3 linked regions of the Drosophila melanogaster genome follow. The gene in region 1 interacts genetically with each later gene. Each region holds a gene or a part of one and is shown in the gene's direction. Other genes may lie near its edges.

Region 1 (8,734 bases):
AAAATGGTGTTTGGCTAGTGAGGAAATATCACCAGCCTTGCAGGCCCAATAAAGATTCACTTGTTTGGCAAGCTCTTAATAGCGCAATTTAACTACGTTTTAATAGCGCCCTTAGAATATTTATTGCACATAAAGGCCAATATGTTTAGTCAAGAGTCATTCATCTTTGTTAAACAAATTCAATTTCAAACATAAGACTATAGAACTTGCTTTGCTCAGGGGCAGCCCATCAAGATGATATACCCTATTGACCAATCCAGGCCAATATCATCCATCAGCTCTCGGCGTTCTGACCAGCTACGTTAGAAACTCGGCCAAGGAGCAGATTTCGCACAGACCCCGACTAGCGGTATTAATCGACTGAATTAATACATTTAGTAGCGCTGAAGTTCAGGGTCATAATCACAAAAGAGAAGCGCCGATAATGCGAGCTGTTTCTGTTTGAATGACGAGCGCGCGACAAAAAATGCTAAACGGCCAATGTGCTTCAAATGGAAATGGAAATGCCAAAGACCCGGAAGGGTGGCGACCAACACAGCTGCAGTGCATCCAACTCGGCAAACATTTGCATATTTGACCGGGCACTTAGCACGTGGGTGGAGTACATGGATCACCATGGGTCACACAAATCACCTGGGAATCTGGGAGACTGGTGAGAGTAAGTGCGTGAAATTGACCCATTCATTGGACGGACAATCGCTTCCCATCGATCTGGAAATGTGTTAACTGCGCCCGTAAACCCTATTTGCGTAGTTAAATTAAGTGCCAGGTTATGGAGTTGGGGCGTGTCATCCCCCACATTGGCACATATATATATATATATATAAGCACTTATAACTATGCTGCCAATTGAGTTCGTCTCAATGACGTGACGGCGATAATAAATCAATTGTCTAGCGGTTTATTTAAAGCCAATTTTGTAGCTGGAAATTGGCACACAGAAAGAAAAGTGGTGTCAGGAACTTATATATAAAATGTTATTATTTTGGTTATTTTTAAAGGGTCTAATGGAACTATTTTTATTATAAAAATGTAGATAATTTTTTAAGCATTTCTTTATAGAGATGTTTTTAGAAAAATGTTTTTTTAAATGGGCACACAGAAAGAAAAGTGGTGTCAGGAACTTACATATATAAAATATTATCCATATCTATTTTGTTAATTTTAAAGGGTCTAATGGAACTATTTTTATTACAAAAATGTAGTTAATTTTTTAAGCATTTCTTTATAGAGATGTTTTTTAGAAATAACACAGTATCAAACGAAAGTGGCGAGGATGACGCAAAATCCAATTAACCTGAGTTATCACTGAAAGGTCAAAGCACATAATAAAAATATAAACTCCATCGTGCGGTCTAAAAATCGCGACACATTATATATAAATATAAAGTGCATGTATATATTTTTTTAGAAATTCATTCCAAACACTTTCAGTGGCATACAAACAGATTTTCATAAAATTGTTAACAATTTATGATGATGAACTAGAGTCTCTCATAGTATGTTCTATGTATGTTCGTTAAATTCTAAACATATACCATAATATATATATGTATATGTATACATGTATACTAATATTGAAGTATATTTCGTTTTTACTGTGTACTTTTTCGCTTCCCTCTTTGCTTTCGTTTTCTTTTTGCCGCTCTTTTTGCGATAGGATCTGCATGTTTTTTTGGCCAACCGGGAAAGGGTTAATAAACTTGTTCAAAATAAACCAAGAAAAAGCATGGCTTATCTGCTGCTGTTAGCAGTTTTGCTTTCTTTTCTCGCCACAGACATTCATTTTAATGGCTTCAAACTTGACCTTAGCACCAGAAAGCACCAAAAAATCAGTAAAGATAAAACCAAAACTAAATGTTTCTAAAGCAAAAATAAAATAAAAAAAAAAAAAAAGAAACCGCCGCGCAACTTAAATTGGCCATTAACGCAACTTCGACTTGCATCGTATCGAACCCGGCCGAGTGACGCAAAAATCAACTAAAAAAAAAGGTTAAGTATACGCCGTGCGGGCCGTGCCGCGACTGCGCTGCCAGCGTCGCCAGCGACGGCGGCGTCAAATGTTGGCCGGCCTGCGAAGCGCGTTCATTTTGTTTATTTATACAGCCGAGCGGGTAGAACTCCATATTAGTGTCTTCTTGGCGTTTGCCGCAGTCGAGTCCGAGTCCGAGTCCGAATCCGAATTCGAGTTTCGAGTCCGTAAACTGTAACTGAATCTTCAGGCTACGGTCGTAGTGCGATTGTGTGTGTGTGCGCGCCAGTGCGTGTGTGTGTTAGCCAAGTTCCAAGCAGGGAATCGAGTCAGCCGAAAAACCAACAGGTACGGAAGTGATATGAATTCATTTTTTGGGGCAACCTAAAGGCGTGATGAAAGTGTTGCATAAATTGGAGAGCAGTTCTTGGGCAAAAAAAAAAAAAAAACAAAAAAAAAACTGAGAGCTCGATTGGCAGTGGCTGGTCTAAGCCTGGCTAACTTTGCTGCCACCACCGCCATTGGTCCGTCTGATATTTCTCGTCGACCTTAACCCAATGCATCGTACATAGATTAAATGCTGAAAACTCGCTTGAGGAGCTGCAATTTTGCCAGTCAGCCAAGGCCAAGACTCTGGCTGCAGCATTGAGGCGGCCAAATCTAAACGATTTGAACTTGTAATCGATTGCGATTCAATTTGCAGCTGCACTAGCCAAATGGCCTTCAATAGCACCAAGCAAATGGCCGCCTGACACTATGGCCAAACTGAACACTCCCCCTCACGAAGATGACCACATTTCATGGTTAGGCAAACAGATTAGAAGTCGCTGTTCCCACGAAGAGACCACGGCCCATATCCGTTACAGTTTCTAACGACAACAACACAGACAGACGCAGAGGGTTTCGTTTGGGCCAGGAAAAAAATCCAATTAACGCCGCAAATATTTACAGAGTAATTAAAGGTTGTCAGTCGGCCCAAAAAGTCACCAGCAACAAACTCTGGCTTAAGACGCACAGGGGAAAAAGGTTTTTAAGTCATCTTTCGCGTTTCCTAAATAATATTAATATATTTTATTTTAACGAAAATTGAACTAAACAGTTTTGTTGATAGCCAAACAGATTTTTTGAACTATTTATATATACTTTCATATATGTCTCAAAAAGCAATTAGCTAGGGAATTTGCTAAGCTTAGTTTTAATCGCATTTTAAAACATTTTCTTACCGTGTGGGTTATAGTTATGGATGTATCTATGTGGCGTTTCTGCGGTTTGCCAACTGCTGGCTGACTCGACGCGTTTTTGTGCCTCCTCTGTAAATGCCTCGGCTGGCAAAAAAAAAAAAATTAATTTACAGCGCTAAGCAAGCATGAAACCATAAAACATGTGCACTTGACACAGGCAAAACTAAATGATTAACCTGTTGCACTCTGGAGCCACGTCGGGAAAATAACAATGTGGAAAAAAAAATTAAACAATTTTCAGGGTGCTCGACCCGTTTACATACCCTACCCGATCTACTCAGTACTCATGATTCTATGGATCCATTCGATTGCATCGCAACACCTACCACATTTCCAAACTTCAATGGGCTAATGTATTCGGGAATTTCACATGGCTAATTGTTGTCATTCGGCGAACACTCAAGTGCGTGTGAAAATCGTGCTGTCTGTAATCTATAGAAAAACATCCGCCCCATTGGACTGCAATTTACACAGCATATATGTAGCTATATCATTTTGAGGAGTTCTGCAACAGAAAGGAAAATAATAAAAAAATATTTAAACCAAGACTAGTTTACTATCATAAATTGCATGTACTTGGGATTTTCCAAACACAAATCATATTTTTTTTTTCTGGTGTACACACGTGGCGACATAACACACGAAATACCTGAGCTTCTAGGCGCAAAGTTGCAAAAAAAAAGAAACATGCAAAACTTGCTGATTTAAACTGGTGGCACATTAACAACGTTTAAATCGCAGCAGCAGATACAGATACATTTACATATAGACATATGCGCAGATGAAAGACTAATGCCCCATCGGCCTTCATTAGATTTCGAATTAGTGGCGAATTAAGTTGTTTTTATCCGAACCTTTTATTTTTAGAGGCAAGTTCGTAAAAATTAACGCTTTATTCGGTGCTTTTCCGCACCGTAACAGACGTATGGATATTTAGATACTATTCGCATTAGTCACAACATTTGAAATTATGGCAAAGCCGTGTTCGAGTGCTGGGTAAACCCAATTCCCAGTTCTCAGTCCACAGTTCCGAGTGCCAAGTATCCAAATATCGAGTGTTCTGATACTGCTGACAAGGCAGCACCTCTTAAAGGGTACAAAAATTTGCAAAAGCGAAAATCAATTATGCATACAATACACATAATTTTAATGCGTGCGCGGCAGAATGTGGTTGCTGGCTGCTTCTGCGTTTATTTTTAATTTATTTAAGGCGGAAGACCTGCTCAGCTCACAGAATCTGTGCTCCACTGCCGTCGTATGGGATACTGAAGTAATGGCTATAGATGTGGCCTTTGGTTAACCGAAAGTGTGGCACCAGAAGGTGCTGGGGTTACCCAAAAAAGGGAAGCTGCCATCCAAAAGGGGCGTAGCCAGAAGGGGGATCAACGTCAGCAGCTGCGAAGGCAGCCAGCGGAACACTCGCCTGACTTTCAATTGGCGTCACATTTTTGGTCGACTGCGATCATGATCATGATGATGATGATGATGATGTAGTTGATGCGGCAGCCAGCTCACTTTTCCTGTCTCCAGTGTCAGTCTATATGATTGCCAAGTGTCTTGCATACGAATGGGTCTGGGAATGGCAATACCTATATCTATATAGCTATATGGCTATATGGCTATATGTCTATATGGCTATATGGCTAAGGGAAGGCGAAGTCAATTGCGAACGGCTTAACCCTGACAGAGACCTAGTCTCAGTCGCTGTCGATCGGCGGTAGTCAAAACATATCAATCATACGCCGAGTGTGTCCAATTAGCGACTGTGGCAGGTGTTTGCTCTGTTCTTCGGCCAGGCCAGGCCAGACTCTCCAAATCAAATTACACGCCATGTGATCATCCATGAAGAGTGCTACTGCAATCAGAAGGGAACAAAACTCCAGTCATCCCAGAATCATTATAGAGCAGGCCGTGCCTTTAAAATTCAAAGTACAAGCACATAAATTCGATCAAGTTTGACAACTAGTTTTATACCGTTCCGATTTGTGACATTCCCAACTGGACATCTTCTAGCATACCAGCTAATTATACAAACCAATCTATATACATTTTACCACACATATATATATATATATATAAATTCGAGAATCTTCGCCCGAACGAGTTCCGGTTGGAGTTGGCTAGGTCAGTGGTTAATGAGGAGAACACCTCGAAATGTTACATAAGAAACGAGTTCTGGCTGCCGTGTAATTGAATATATTCGATGGGTCATTTTCAATCAAACTCTTTTTCCGTGTGCAATTTAAATAACAATGTGAGGCAAGAACACGAGCCCCAGTGGCTAGAACATAAACTCCGAGTGCCGTGCCGATTTTATCTGAACAGTAAAGCTGAAAAAGACAATCGCAGATGTTCAGGGAGATGCCAAGATGAATGCCAAAGATAGTATTAACTTTAGTGCCAAGGCGAGAAATTCAAATGAAGCCTTGAGTCCGGATTTTTTTCAGGTTTCTACTGTCACTGACTTGCGGTCTTGGCTTCGGCCAAGAATCTTAGATCTTTAAGACATTCTCGTTCGATTCTATTGAATCGAGAGATTCACATATGTCTAGTTATATCGTTGAGCTGCACCACCCTTATCTTTGCTGTCGTCATTCATCATTCGATTGGGGATAACTTAATAAGCGATTTCTTCGCGCCTTTCATTAATAAATCTTTGGCGTGCCTCGGCACAAATTCCAATGCAAATCACGATCCTCGGCGAGCCGAGCAGAAACAAACGTGCTGAGCCTCTCCAAGCGATCGCGATTTAGAATACCTATTTTCATTCAATATTTCGGCAACGCGGCGTACGGACGTCGGGCTCTGAATTCTCGATTTTTGGGCGAAAATTTCTAAAGCTCGTAAGCCTCTTTCTTTCAGTTGCCAATTGACAATTGCCAGTTGCAGAAACAGTAACAGTAACGAAAACAGAAACAGAAAGCCAATATGACGAACTACATAAAGATTGTCGAGGAGCGAATCTCCGGCCTCTCAAAAGGAGTGGGTAAGTTGAATCGAAATAGGTATGCATATATATCAAATGAAACTAATGATTCGAATACCATTTAGATGAGACGGTGGACAGCTGGTTCCTAATGAGCTCACCTATGCCCGTGGTGGCCGTGGTTCTCGTCTATCTGGCGTTTGTTCTGAAAATCGGACCCGAGTACATGAAGAATCGCAAGCCCATGGACCTCAAGCGCATCATGGTGTTCTATAATGCCTTTCAGGTCTTGTACTCCATTTGGATGTGCCGCACGGTGAGTCCATAAAACGGAGCGTCATAATTATTCAGCTTGTTTCGCGATCTCGATTTATGTATTATTCATTTTTAATAAGAAAAGCAGCGTCAAGTGCTTGTCGAACATACAAAGTTGCGACCTACGTTATATTGTCATTAAATATATTAAGCTAAACCAATTTAAACCAATTGTGCAGAGAATTCGTTTATTTGAAGACTCTATTTGTGAATTTTTATTTCACATACTATTATACAATTCAATTGCAAATCGATGTCGCGCTTTAATGAATGAACAAATTAACTGCACTTGAATAAGAAATTTAAATAAAATAGCGTTTTTAAGCAGCAAATTAAAAATAATAAAATATATGAGGATTAATTTCCCCTTTTCTTTTTTTTTTTTTTGCAGTCCATCCAAGAGAGCAATGTGATGGCGTCGATCTTCTCGAAGAAGTGCGAGATTAACCGCACCAGGGAGCAGAATCTGACCCTCTATTCCGGTGCCTGGTTCTACTTTTTCTCGAAGATCATCGATCTGCTGGACACGACGTTCTTTGTGCTGCGCAAGAAGGACAACCAGGTGTCCTTCCTACACGTGTACCATCACACCATCACGGTGCTCTTCTCCTGGGGCTACCTGAAGTACGCTCCCGGCGAGCAGGGCGTGATCATTGGCATTCTCAACTCGGGCGTGCACATTATCATGTACTTCTACTACATGGTGGCCGCAATGGGACCCCAGTACCAGAAGTACCTGTGGTGGAAGAAGTACATGACCAGCATCCAGCTGATCCAGTTCGTCCTCATCCTGGGCTACATGCTGACCGTGGGCGCCAAGGGCTGCAACATGCCCAAGACACTGACCTTCTTCTTCGTGGGCAACACGGTCATCTTCCTTTACCTGTTCGGCAATTTCTATCGCAAGACCTACAAGAAGGCCAAGTCCGTGGATGGAGGCAGTCGCACCACCGGCAGTAGTTTGGCTCAATCCGCTCTGCGTGCCGCCGGCGGTATGGGTTGCATGCCGCAGACCATGAACGCCGGTAAGCATCTGCTCCAGAATGGCCAGGTCGGAAAGGCGTACATCGATCTGAACAACAACAGCGTGAAGCCCATGAAGCTGGAATGATCGGCGATGCCGAAAATGGTGTCGTTGGGATTTCAGTTAGCAATTATGTTTTTTAGAGCGGGGCTTAGTTCGTAACTCTTACCTTTACCTTTACCATTACCAACTATCAGTAGTCTGTAGTCTGCGGAGAATAACTTGTATAATGTTTATATGCCGGGCAGGCGGATGATGATTCAAATCCAAAAAGTAGCTAGGACCCTAAGTGCGTGAATGTGGCCATGTTTGTGTGACTGAGTATGTGTTAATGTTTTTCTAGCTGAGCGTGTATGAGAGCTAGTGTGATAGAGCTTATTAATGAAATGCAGCCGTAAATCGTTTCGCAAAACAAGAAAAATTCAATAAAACTTTAATTTTGTATATTTAATAAAACCAAAAAAGTCTGTGTCTGTTCTTTGCCGGTGAAATTCGGGTTCAGGTTTTGGGTTTTGGGGGTTTTTGGACTTCTATTTCTGCGCGAAGCTCTTGGGTTAGGTAATCAAACCGGATCCCATTGGATCCTATTATTTATGACAACGGCATGGCCACGCGCTCCATCCACACGCAAAGAAAAATTATGCAGATCTGCAAACCATTAAACGTGATTAATATCTGTCGATTGAGTGAAGATATACTACCTCTTTTTGTGCCAACTGTCTAATCAGAGAACAGATTAGAAATATCATAAAACAAAAGCACAAATTTTTGCATCCCTAAAAAACGATTCTTTAAATAAACCATATTTTTATGAGTGTAGAACCTAGTACGCGTGCTGCGATGATTATCCAACATTGTGTGTGCCCCGTCCATTTTGTTGGCCAGGCTTAGACACCCTGGCGACGATTGGAGAATGTCTTTGCCAAATTAGAATTTCTAATCAATTTTTTCTTAACTCGCCTTGACTCACACACATGCCTCCAGCATCACATGAAGCACCTTTATTTATGCAGATTTCGAGTATAAAACTCTTGTTGTTTTGTACACATTCGAGTCAAAGTTCAAGGGCCTGGAAAAGAGTTTGATTTGTATCTATGGGTAGGCGTGTTATTTTAAATGAGCCTCGTTTTTGCGACATTTGCATAGGTCAAACTCTATGTTGGTTTTAAAACTAAGAACGGCCTGAAAGTATGCCTTGAATTGTGATTATGGAAATTTTTTCCAGTTTCTTGGTAAATATATAAATAACGCCGGAG
Region 2 (4,647 bases), on another chromosome or scaffold:
GTCATTTATCTCGTTGATGTGCTGCTCTCGCTTGCGCTCCTCGCGATCCCGACGCTGTCGTTCCTTCTTACGATGAAGAATGTCCTCTGCGGAAGGAATACATATAAGCATAATGCTGTACATGGACCTAGTGGACTTACCCTTAAAGAGCTTGAGTATTCCTCCAGTGACCACTGGCGGCTGCAATTCGACTTCCACAACCGAAAACTGACAAGTCAAAGGCAAGTGGCCAAGACAAGTGAACTTGCGTCGATGCTCCTCATCCATAGAGTGCTGTTCCATCTGCACGATTTGGGCTTCGATGAGTAGCGGACCCAAGTCCAAGGTGCCGTAGCAAGCCTGAAGCATCTTCACGTTCAAGGGATGCAAGTAAATATTCTGTCCGTCGTTTGACTGGTAGAAATAATAGTATTTATTATGGTTGCTCGAGTAGCTAAGGCTGCTGGATGCTTCTCCCGACGAGATGGAGGCATCGTCTGACTTCTCAATATCAATCTTGGTCTCGGTTTCTAGGCAAAGTACAGGTGCTGTCTCCTCTTCATCCTCTTTCGGATCAGGTTTCTCGACACCCAACTTCTCAACACGCTCCTGAAGCATCACCAGCGCTTGCTGGATGAACACATCCTCGGGACAGGAGACATCCGATTCGGCTAGCAGTTCGTTACGCTCCCTCTCGATGATGGCGGCCACATCCATCCGCTTGGCTATTAGAAACTTTGAGTAGCGTTTAGCCTCTTCACCAGCGGACACAAAGGGGAAACGTTCAATTGTTTCGCCCAATCCTGCAACATGATTTTCAATGTACATGGAGCCCTTGCGACGCCGCATCAACTGGAAGGTAATCTTCTCGCCCACTTGCAAATCCCTCAGCTGTTCGATGGTGCAGCTCTTCAGATCTCCCGCGTGGATGGCGTCATAGCAGATAGGACACTTGCGCCAGGTCTTGTCGCTCAGCGAGAGGTAGTGCAGCAAGCAGGGCCAACAGTAGGCGTGTCCGCATCTGGTGAGCTTGGCAGCCACAGGCGGGTACAGGCAGATGGGGCACTGCAACTCCTCAGTGGTCTGTATGTTGATCTGCTCGATGTAGCTCCAATCGATGAGTGCATCCGGCGAGCCATTAACCTGAGCCTTTGCACCCGATCTAATGACGAACTGAAAGTTGGCCTGCAGGAACTGCTCCTTGTTGTAGCGCTGCTTTCGGCCACTCAGGCCGTGGTGCTGTTGGGCCTGATGGTGATGTCCTCGCTCCAGTTCCCTGGGCACGCAGTGGAAGTTAAGCAGATGGTTCAGATTCTGCTTCTTGCTGCCCTGTGTATACACAGAGTTCAGTTCATGGTCAAAGTCACCGCTACGTGAGTAGCCGGTGGCGGAGTAGGCTAGTCGGGAGCTGCCTGAAGCCCCGTCCTGGCCACGGGGTGAAGGGAAATCGTAACCGCCTCCAAACCCGCGAGCCTTCGGACGCTTGTCCACATTGGGACGTAGCTTTGCTGGCTGCTGTGGCTGTTGTTGCTGATCGTTGCGCGGTGTGGGAACCTGATTCCTTCGACGGCTGTGTCGCTGCTTGTTGCTGTTGGTATGTAACTCTGCGGAGGAGAAGGTTGCACCAATATTAAAACCTTTTCGGGATATAAAAATATCAGGAGAATGGAGCACCCACCACTGGACTTCCTTTGCGATTCAGCAGACGAGGACTTGCCATGATGAGAGGATTGAGGCTGCTTCTTGCTGTTGCTGCTGTTGTTGCTGTCCATCGTTGTGGATACTGGAGGTGCACTTGTCTTGGGGAATAGTAATAGTATGGGTGCTGGACAGCTGCCAGTGGGCGGCTAATTGCGTCTTGCCTAGGTCTCCACACGGAGTGCGCTGAGCAAAGTATTCTCGTTGCGGATTCATGTTTACTGAGCCATGATTATCCAACGGGTACGACTAGAAATAGTACTTGCGTAATATTTCCAAAAAATCAAATGCGGCTTTTGCGAGTAAGTGCAGTTAAATTCGAGGCGAAAGTACTTTTTTAAGTACTTGGACTTGCGGCTCGATTCTTCTTCTCTTTTTCTAGCACTTGTTTTGTTGTTCTATTAGTCTGTGGGTCGTAGTATTAGTAGCTGTAATCGTATTGGTGCCTAAAAAGGTGTGACGTCTGCGCTAGCTGCTCTTTGCGGGTCCAAAACCGAATCTTTCCGACAATTACCACTTGCCAATTGCACACACACTGCCGACACACGGTCTCTGCTATCGCGGGGTTTCGATTTGACGTCTCGAAATCAACAAATTTTGATGGAAAAACCAAATATCCTTTGGTCAGGGAAAAAAAGCATCCGTGATGCCCGATAGAAAATGGCTGACTGTAAGTGCTGGAAAGTGCCTCGCAGAGAGCTGATGGTGTGCTTTGGTATGGTCGTGATTCGTCAGAGAAAACTATCGCACAAGGTAATTATATATAATTATAATGTCACATTGGATATTTAAATAATATTAAAGGAAATACTTTTTTTAATTTAATACTTCGTATAATACGTTTGAAGTGAGCGGAGCTGTGTTGTGTAAAATGTGCTGTTGCAAGTTGCGTTACCGATGTTCCTAGAAAGTGTCATCTCAATTAGGCAAAAGTATAACAGCTGATTTTGTTATCTGAGCCGCACTTTGATCGGCCTTTGAATAAGATATGTTAGAATCAACATTGCAGTAACCCCCAACGACATGGACTTTCGGAACGCCCGCGCCCGGCAGCCGGAGATCGTGAGATCCGTGCAGAAGGATGCACGGTACACCAACGAGCTGGCCGAAGACTTGTCCGATGTCTTGCGCCTCACCGGTCCACGGAACTGGATAAAGTACAACCAGATGTGCCGACTTCTGGCGGAGCTCAGTTACCACGGATTCGCCTCGGCCAATAACCTTCAGACCCTCGGCGAAGAGTACACGGGGATAATACAGGTGGACGGGAACTATAAGCAGATTCCCAGCAGATTGGTAAGTAAAGAATACTCGAAAAGAAAACATTTGTAAACGTCGCGCATCTTTTAGTTACAACTGATTGCCATTGTCCTGGAGTTTGGTGGCGACTCCCTGTTCCAACGATTGATGCAAAAACTTGACACCTACGTGGCCAACAATGACGAGATTCGAACCGAGATCAAGCCGCAGCTAAAGAAGATTATTCAGAGGCTCAGGCAATCTCCCAGCTACGTAAAGGCCCTGCACAAGTCTCTATTCTACTTGGACGCCAGCAAGTACCAGCTGTCCAAGCGCACCACGGGCATCAACTACGTACTAATCCGTCACTGGCTGCAGCCGGAATTCTCGCTGTACGGCTACAAGATACTGGGCGTAATCACTTTCCTGCAGGTCAGCGTTTCCTTGGCCATTAGTGGATGGGATGCCTGGAGAGAGCACAAGCGCCAGCAGCTAGAATCAATAAAGCAGGCTGGAAAGAATTTCCTGCAAAGATCTTCGAGTACAAAGGACGTAGATCCAAACACCCCACAGTGCATCCTTTGCCTGGAGCCACGTTCTGACAGCAGTTTGACTCCATGCGGCCACATCTTTTGCTGGAGCTGCCTGCTCGAGTGGCTGGAGGAGCGGGATGAGTGCCCCTTGTGCCGGGAGTCGCTGAAAAAGTCCCAAGTGATATTACTGCAAAACTATGCCTAAGATTGGATTAAGACTTTTTATATTCATGTTATAGGAAGTATTTTTGTGTCTATGTAATATATTTTATTCATATAAATGAAACAAGTTTTATTTATTTATTCACAATTTGTAATGTCAAAAAAATGGTATAAATCTTCAACTTAAATTACGTGAAGTCTTAAAAAGACTAAAGAAAGGATGCACAGAAACAAAATATAATGATACTTCATCGTTGATGTTAATGATAGTTTCCCAGTCGCTCGCTGGGTTTTGTATGCTTAAACGCATTTCTTACACGGTTTATTCGATTTATTTAAACAAGTTTATGTACATGCTGCTTATATATATAATATTTTTGGTGTCTGGCTTAACATTATCTATTTACATTATACAATTATTTGGGCTCTAAGCTCATTGCCTAGATGATATCCAGGTAGACAGTGCGGTTAAATATCTGCTTCTTGCGGCGCGATTCGAAGGCAGACCTTGCCTCCGAAGGGGACTCGAAAGCGACGCGAGTGTCGCCGGTGGGTTTGCCTTCATCATTGAAACGCCTTATAATGTCATCCGGGCTAAGCTTGTAGTCGCTAAAGAAGCGCATGATGTCCTTTAGCTCCGCCTTGAAAGGGACATTGCGCATAGCCACTACGCATCCCGGCCGATTGAACTTGTCCGGGATTATGGATGTGGGAACGGGCACCGGAGAGGTTGGCTTGACTTGACCCTGATTGCTGGGCGAGAGGGAGCTGCTGCTCAGAGGAGGATCTGGTCGAGCGAAGGGATTGAAGTGCTGTTTAACGGGTGCGTTCGAGCTAGTGCTGCTGTTGTCCTCCCTTTCCAGGGATAGCGGTCGATCCTGCTGTTGCGATGGCTGTTCCTGCGGCTTATCAAAGCGGCTGGGTCCTCGACGACGAGACGGCTGCGCACTGGCTTTATTTCCACCTGCACCGTCATTCGCATTGTTAGTTTCCGCTTTCCTGGGACCATTTCCACCCGGCAGATAATCCATGAAGG
Region 3 (4,070 bases), on another chromosome or scaffold:
ATCATTAAAAGGATATTCATATTAAAAATGTGATTTTTAATTTCAATATGCAATGATTTTTAATGGAAACAAATTTTATTAAACATCGGAACAATAGGATACTGTACTATTTACTATACTAAAGAAAAATTATAAATGTAGAGAATGACAGACTAGGAGCTCAAAGAAAGGCGCTTTTAGTAAAATATTCGTCAGGACCACTAAATTTCAGTTTAAAAATCATCCTGACAAAATTTCACTAAATCAATTTAGCTATTTTGTGCTAATTAAAAAACCAATTTAAAGACAACCTCAAAAACCACAGTTCAAACAAAAGCACCTATTAAAGTAAATCGTTTTAGGATTTAGGAAAAAACTCACACTTTTGCTTTAGTTAAATAAACCTCCCGCTTAGTTAACCAACAAATTTGCAGTCAGCCAGTAAACCACAAAGTAACCACTAAAAGTATATCCAAACAAAAGCGTCAGTCGACCACAGCAAACACTTGATTATGAATTCATTAAGACCAGCAAGAGGAAAAAGTCCGAAATTGCAAAGCAGCCATAACATGGATAGCTACTGTCTGTGGCCAGCAAGTCCTCCAACGCTAATTGCAGCACTTGCAACTACACACACTCCGTCAACGGAAACAATTAGTTGCTAATTATGCACCCACCTATCTGATCTTGCAGTATCTGATCTTCGCCTCGGCTCTGTGCCTGAGCCTCGCCTATCCGTTGGAGCACCAGTACTACGAGGAGAGCCATGGATATGAGCACCTGGCCCATCACGAACCGGAGCCCATCCATGAGTATGGCCACCATCAAATCGAACGCATCTCACTGGGCGAGGAGCACGGTCACCTCGAACACGCTGAGCCCCACTACGAGACCCACGAGTCTCACGGACATGATGAACATGTGGATTACTATGTGAGTATTGTTTCTGAAATTCAAAATTACACTATAAACTATAATCAAAGAGATGATGATGATGAAATGTTGTTTCTTAACAGGCTCCTCCCAAATATGCTTTCAAGTACGGCGTGAATGACTTCCACACCGGAGATGTGAAGTCGCAGCACGAGACCCGCGATGGTGACACCGTCAAGGGACAGTACTCCCTGGTGGAGCCCGATGGTTCCATCCGCACCGTGGACTACACCGCCGACAAGCACAATGGATTCAACGCCGTGGTCCACAAGACCGCTCCAGTGCATCATCATGAGGAGCTGCACGAACACCACTACTAAGCTAGTACACACTGCGCACTAGAGTTAGCCAAATTGCTCATCAGCCGGAAGTGGGAGGAGGATTATGAGGACTAGGAGGAGGGACAAGCATATCCACATCGGTCGACCATGGAATCAGCTTCATATCTCGTAATTAGGACATCAGCACACACCCAGGCCAAGGATCACATCCTGTCCATGGCCATTTCATTAACATTTTGTATATTGTATTTTATTCTGTGATAGCGAATAACTTCTATGTGTATCTTCCGCTTTCAACTGATCCTTAGTCACTACCTGCTCAGACGAATTTACCGATCACTACTCGACTGTTTGCCTTAATCTTTAATCTATAATCTATAATCTGTAAACTGTAATGTATACTTATGTCTTCTCGTAAAACAGAGATCGAACGAAGAAATTGTAAATTGTGTAATAAAGTGTGAATTATGTACTTTTTATAAAATCAAAACTCACCCGACCACTGGCCATAATTTTTTCAGCCGGGGCCAATCATTGAACTTGCACTCCTCAAACAAATGACCAAATGTCTCAGCTGACCAACTGGTTTATGCGTTTCCAGACGTAAACGGCAATGGGCAAGATTTCCACAAATTACCAGACATCGTTAGACACATTTTCCGGATCCCAAACGAGTTCTTCAGTTCATTGTGGTTTCTTGTATTTGTTTTCATTGAAATTGCATAAGCCTTAATTGAAATGTTGACGGAAAATGCTTCCTAAATGGTTAAAAGACTTGGAGTTTCTTCGAAATGTCGATGTAATTGATATATAAGCTGATTTCAATTAGCAATAAATAAAAAATCAAACCGCATTGCTAGTATGGCTAGTTTAAATTTGGCGGGGTTTGTCGATATAGTTTACCAGCACTGTTTAAAAATGTCGATAATGACTAGTAAACTTTCTTTACAATTGCCATCTCTAATTGATAAGAAAGGGCAGAGTACATATAAATAAGAAATATATCAATGGTCAGCTAACCAAAGGCAAGAATATAAACAAAATAATGGAGAAAAACAAATATGTACCACGTGTAAATCAGGTGAGCTAATTATGGTGAGCTATTCATGAATTAAAACCACTAAAATTATACATGTTTACCTTTTAGATAGATGCCATCTATTTGAACAAGGACATTGCCCGCCTGATACGCGATAATCTGCTGGAGAACTTGCAAGCCATCTCAGTGAGTATATGAACACTACCATAATTGGCCAATATATACTGTATATCTCTCACAGCCCGTTTTGTTCATCAAAATCCAACCGGAGCTCGACTTGATCATTCAATCCGCAATTTGGTTTGGTTCCGTCGGCAAGCGGTGCTCCACTTTTGGCCAACAGCTACTGGTTCTGGCTTACGATGCCGAAAAGCTGACCGTTTCCAGGCTGGTGCTCCATTTCATCCTGACCGTCTTGCCGGGCTACGTGAAGAGCTGGGAGGAGCGACGCTTAACAAGGCGCGTAGAATGGTTTAGCGAGGCGATTATGTGGGTGGAGAACAGTGCCCTGATACTGAACATCCTCAATTACTTTCGGTTCCTGAAGACAGGACGAAAACCCACTTTGGTGGACTACTTATTGGGATTGGACTACATTAGTCTGCGGAACAATCAAAGGAGAGACATTGGCTACAAGTACCTAACGAGGGAGCTGCTGTGGGGAGGATTTATGGTGCGTGTTAGTTAGTTTGCTTATTATACATATATATTACAGTGTATATTATAGGAAATCCTCGGACTGGTGTTGCCCATCATCAATTTCCGTAAGCTACAAAGAGTGCTAAAATCATGGACATTTTCCGGACGACGGTTAGAGGATAGAGATGGTCCGGCTTTCCTGGCGCCGCAGATGACACTAAGCACCACCTGCACATTCTGTGGAGAGCGACCCACATTGCCCCACCACATGGGCTGTGGTCATATTTATTGCTATTACTGCCTTAATGCAAATGTTTTAACGGATGCCAGTTTCTGCTGCCCCAACTGCGGTTCTGCGTGTCCTGAGTCGGGAATCCAAAGTGTCTGATAAATAGGAATATAGTGCATGTGATGGTTTTATATGTCTTTTATTAGTTTTAAGCGAAAAGTGGGCTGTAAGTAATAAACAAATCATTTTCATATTCCGCCAAATGTGTGTACTTTTAGTGTTAGCAAGCAGAGTAGTGTTGGTAGTCGTACAAAAACAGCTATTATTTACTTGCCCAGTGCCAGGAGTCGTGCGATATAAACTACATAAAAAGTGTATAATTAAACGAAAATAAAAAGCAAAAACTGTTTAGGGCGAAGTATAAAGCCTTGCGGATCCAAAGTTAACTGCTGATTTTCCAAGAACAACAGTTAAGATCAAAAAGTAAGTTCTAAATCCCTATCTTTGGTAAATAAAAAGCGCGCGAAAATATGGGAACAGCTGTTGCATTCTCAACCAGCGTTGCCAAATGTGGCAAATAAATTAAGCAATTATATGAACTCAACTGTTAAGTAGCTCTAACCGTATTTAAGCCACTAGATTAGATAGATAGACTAAGAACATGATTAATATTCATATTTTTTGGGTGGCAAAGCCACACCCAATTTGTTTTGCAATTTCGCGAATCAGCTGCCTGCGGCGATGTGGCAACGCCATTACTTTGTTATTATCTCATTTTTCTGCTGCGCATTTCGTCTTTGTCCGAATTTTTTTGAAGAAAACAATACAATTAATCGCTTCACCAAGAACACGACAAGTAGTTGGAAACCCACGAATTAAACAATTTTTTTGGAGTTGCGTAATTGCATAAAAATAAATAAAGGCATAACCAGCGAAAATAAGAAAACGAGAGCAAACAATTGAAAACAGA

The links.
Region 2: of bond (region 1) and Pex10, changing one suppresses a phenotype caused by changing the other (phenotypic suppression), as found in Drosophila melanogaster (one study listed by BioGRID).
Region 3: of bond (region 1) and Pex2, changing one suppresses a phenotype caused by changing the other (phenotypic suppression), as found in Drosophila melanogaster (one study listed by BioGRID).

Annotation. Positions count from the first base shown.
Region 1 is NT_033777.3:22,548,559-22,557,292, forward strand, and holds bond (james bond), read left to right. Parts: upstream 1-2,121; 5' UTR 2,122-2,320; intron 2,321-3,195; exon of another isoform or gene 3,196-3,297; intron 3,298-3,539; exon of another isoform or gene 3,540-3,718; intron 3,719-4,067; exon of another isoform or gene 4,068-4,129; intron 4,130-5,116; exon of another isoform or gene 5,117-5,337; intron 5,338-5,978; exon of another isoform or gene 5,979-6,075; 5' UTR 6,076-6,141; coding exon 6,142-6,199; intron 6,200-6,264; coding exon 6,265-6,455; intron 6,456-6,845; coding exon 6,846-7,565; 3' UTR 7,566-7,936; downstream 7,937-8,734.
Region 2 is NT_037436.4:1,556,132-1,560,778, forward strand, and holds Pex10 (peroxin 10), read left to right. Parts: upstream 1-2,096; 5' UTR 2,097-2,430; intron 2,431-2,525; 5' UTR 2,526-2,700; coding exon 2,701-2,973; intron 2,974-3,027; coding exon 3,028-3,654; 3' UTR 3,655-3,732; downstream 3,733-4,647. Other genes in the region: CG12099 (uncharacterized protein), read right to left, coding at 1-86, 141-1,583, 1,658-1,751; CG7879 (uncharacterized protein), read right to left, coding at 4,052-4,647.
Region 3 is NT_037436.4:8,336,917-8,340,986, forward strand, and holds Pex2 (peroxin 2), read left to right. Parts: upstream 1-2,134; 5' UTR 2,135-2,238; coding exon 2,239-2,274; intron 2,275-2,340; coding exon 2,341-2,418; intron 2,419-2,473; coding exon 2,474-2,905; intron 2,906-2,959; coding exon 2,960-3,259; 3' UTR 3,260-3,360; downstream 3,361-4,070. Other genes in the region: Cpr66Cb (cuticular protein 66Cb), read left to right, coding at 673-912, 996-1,232.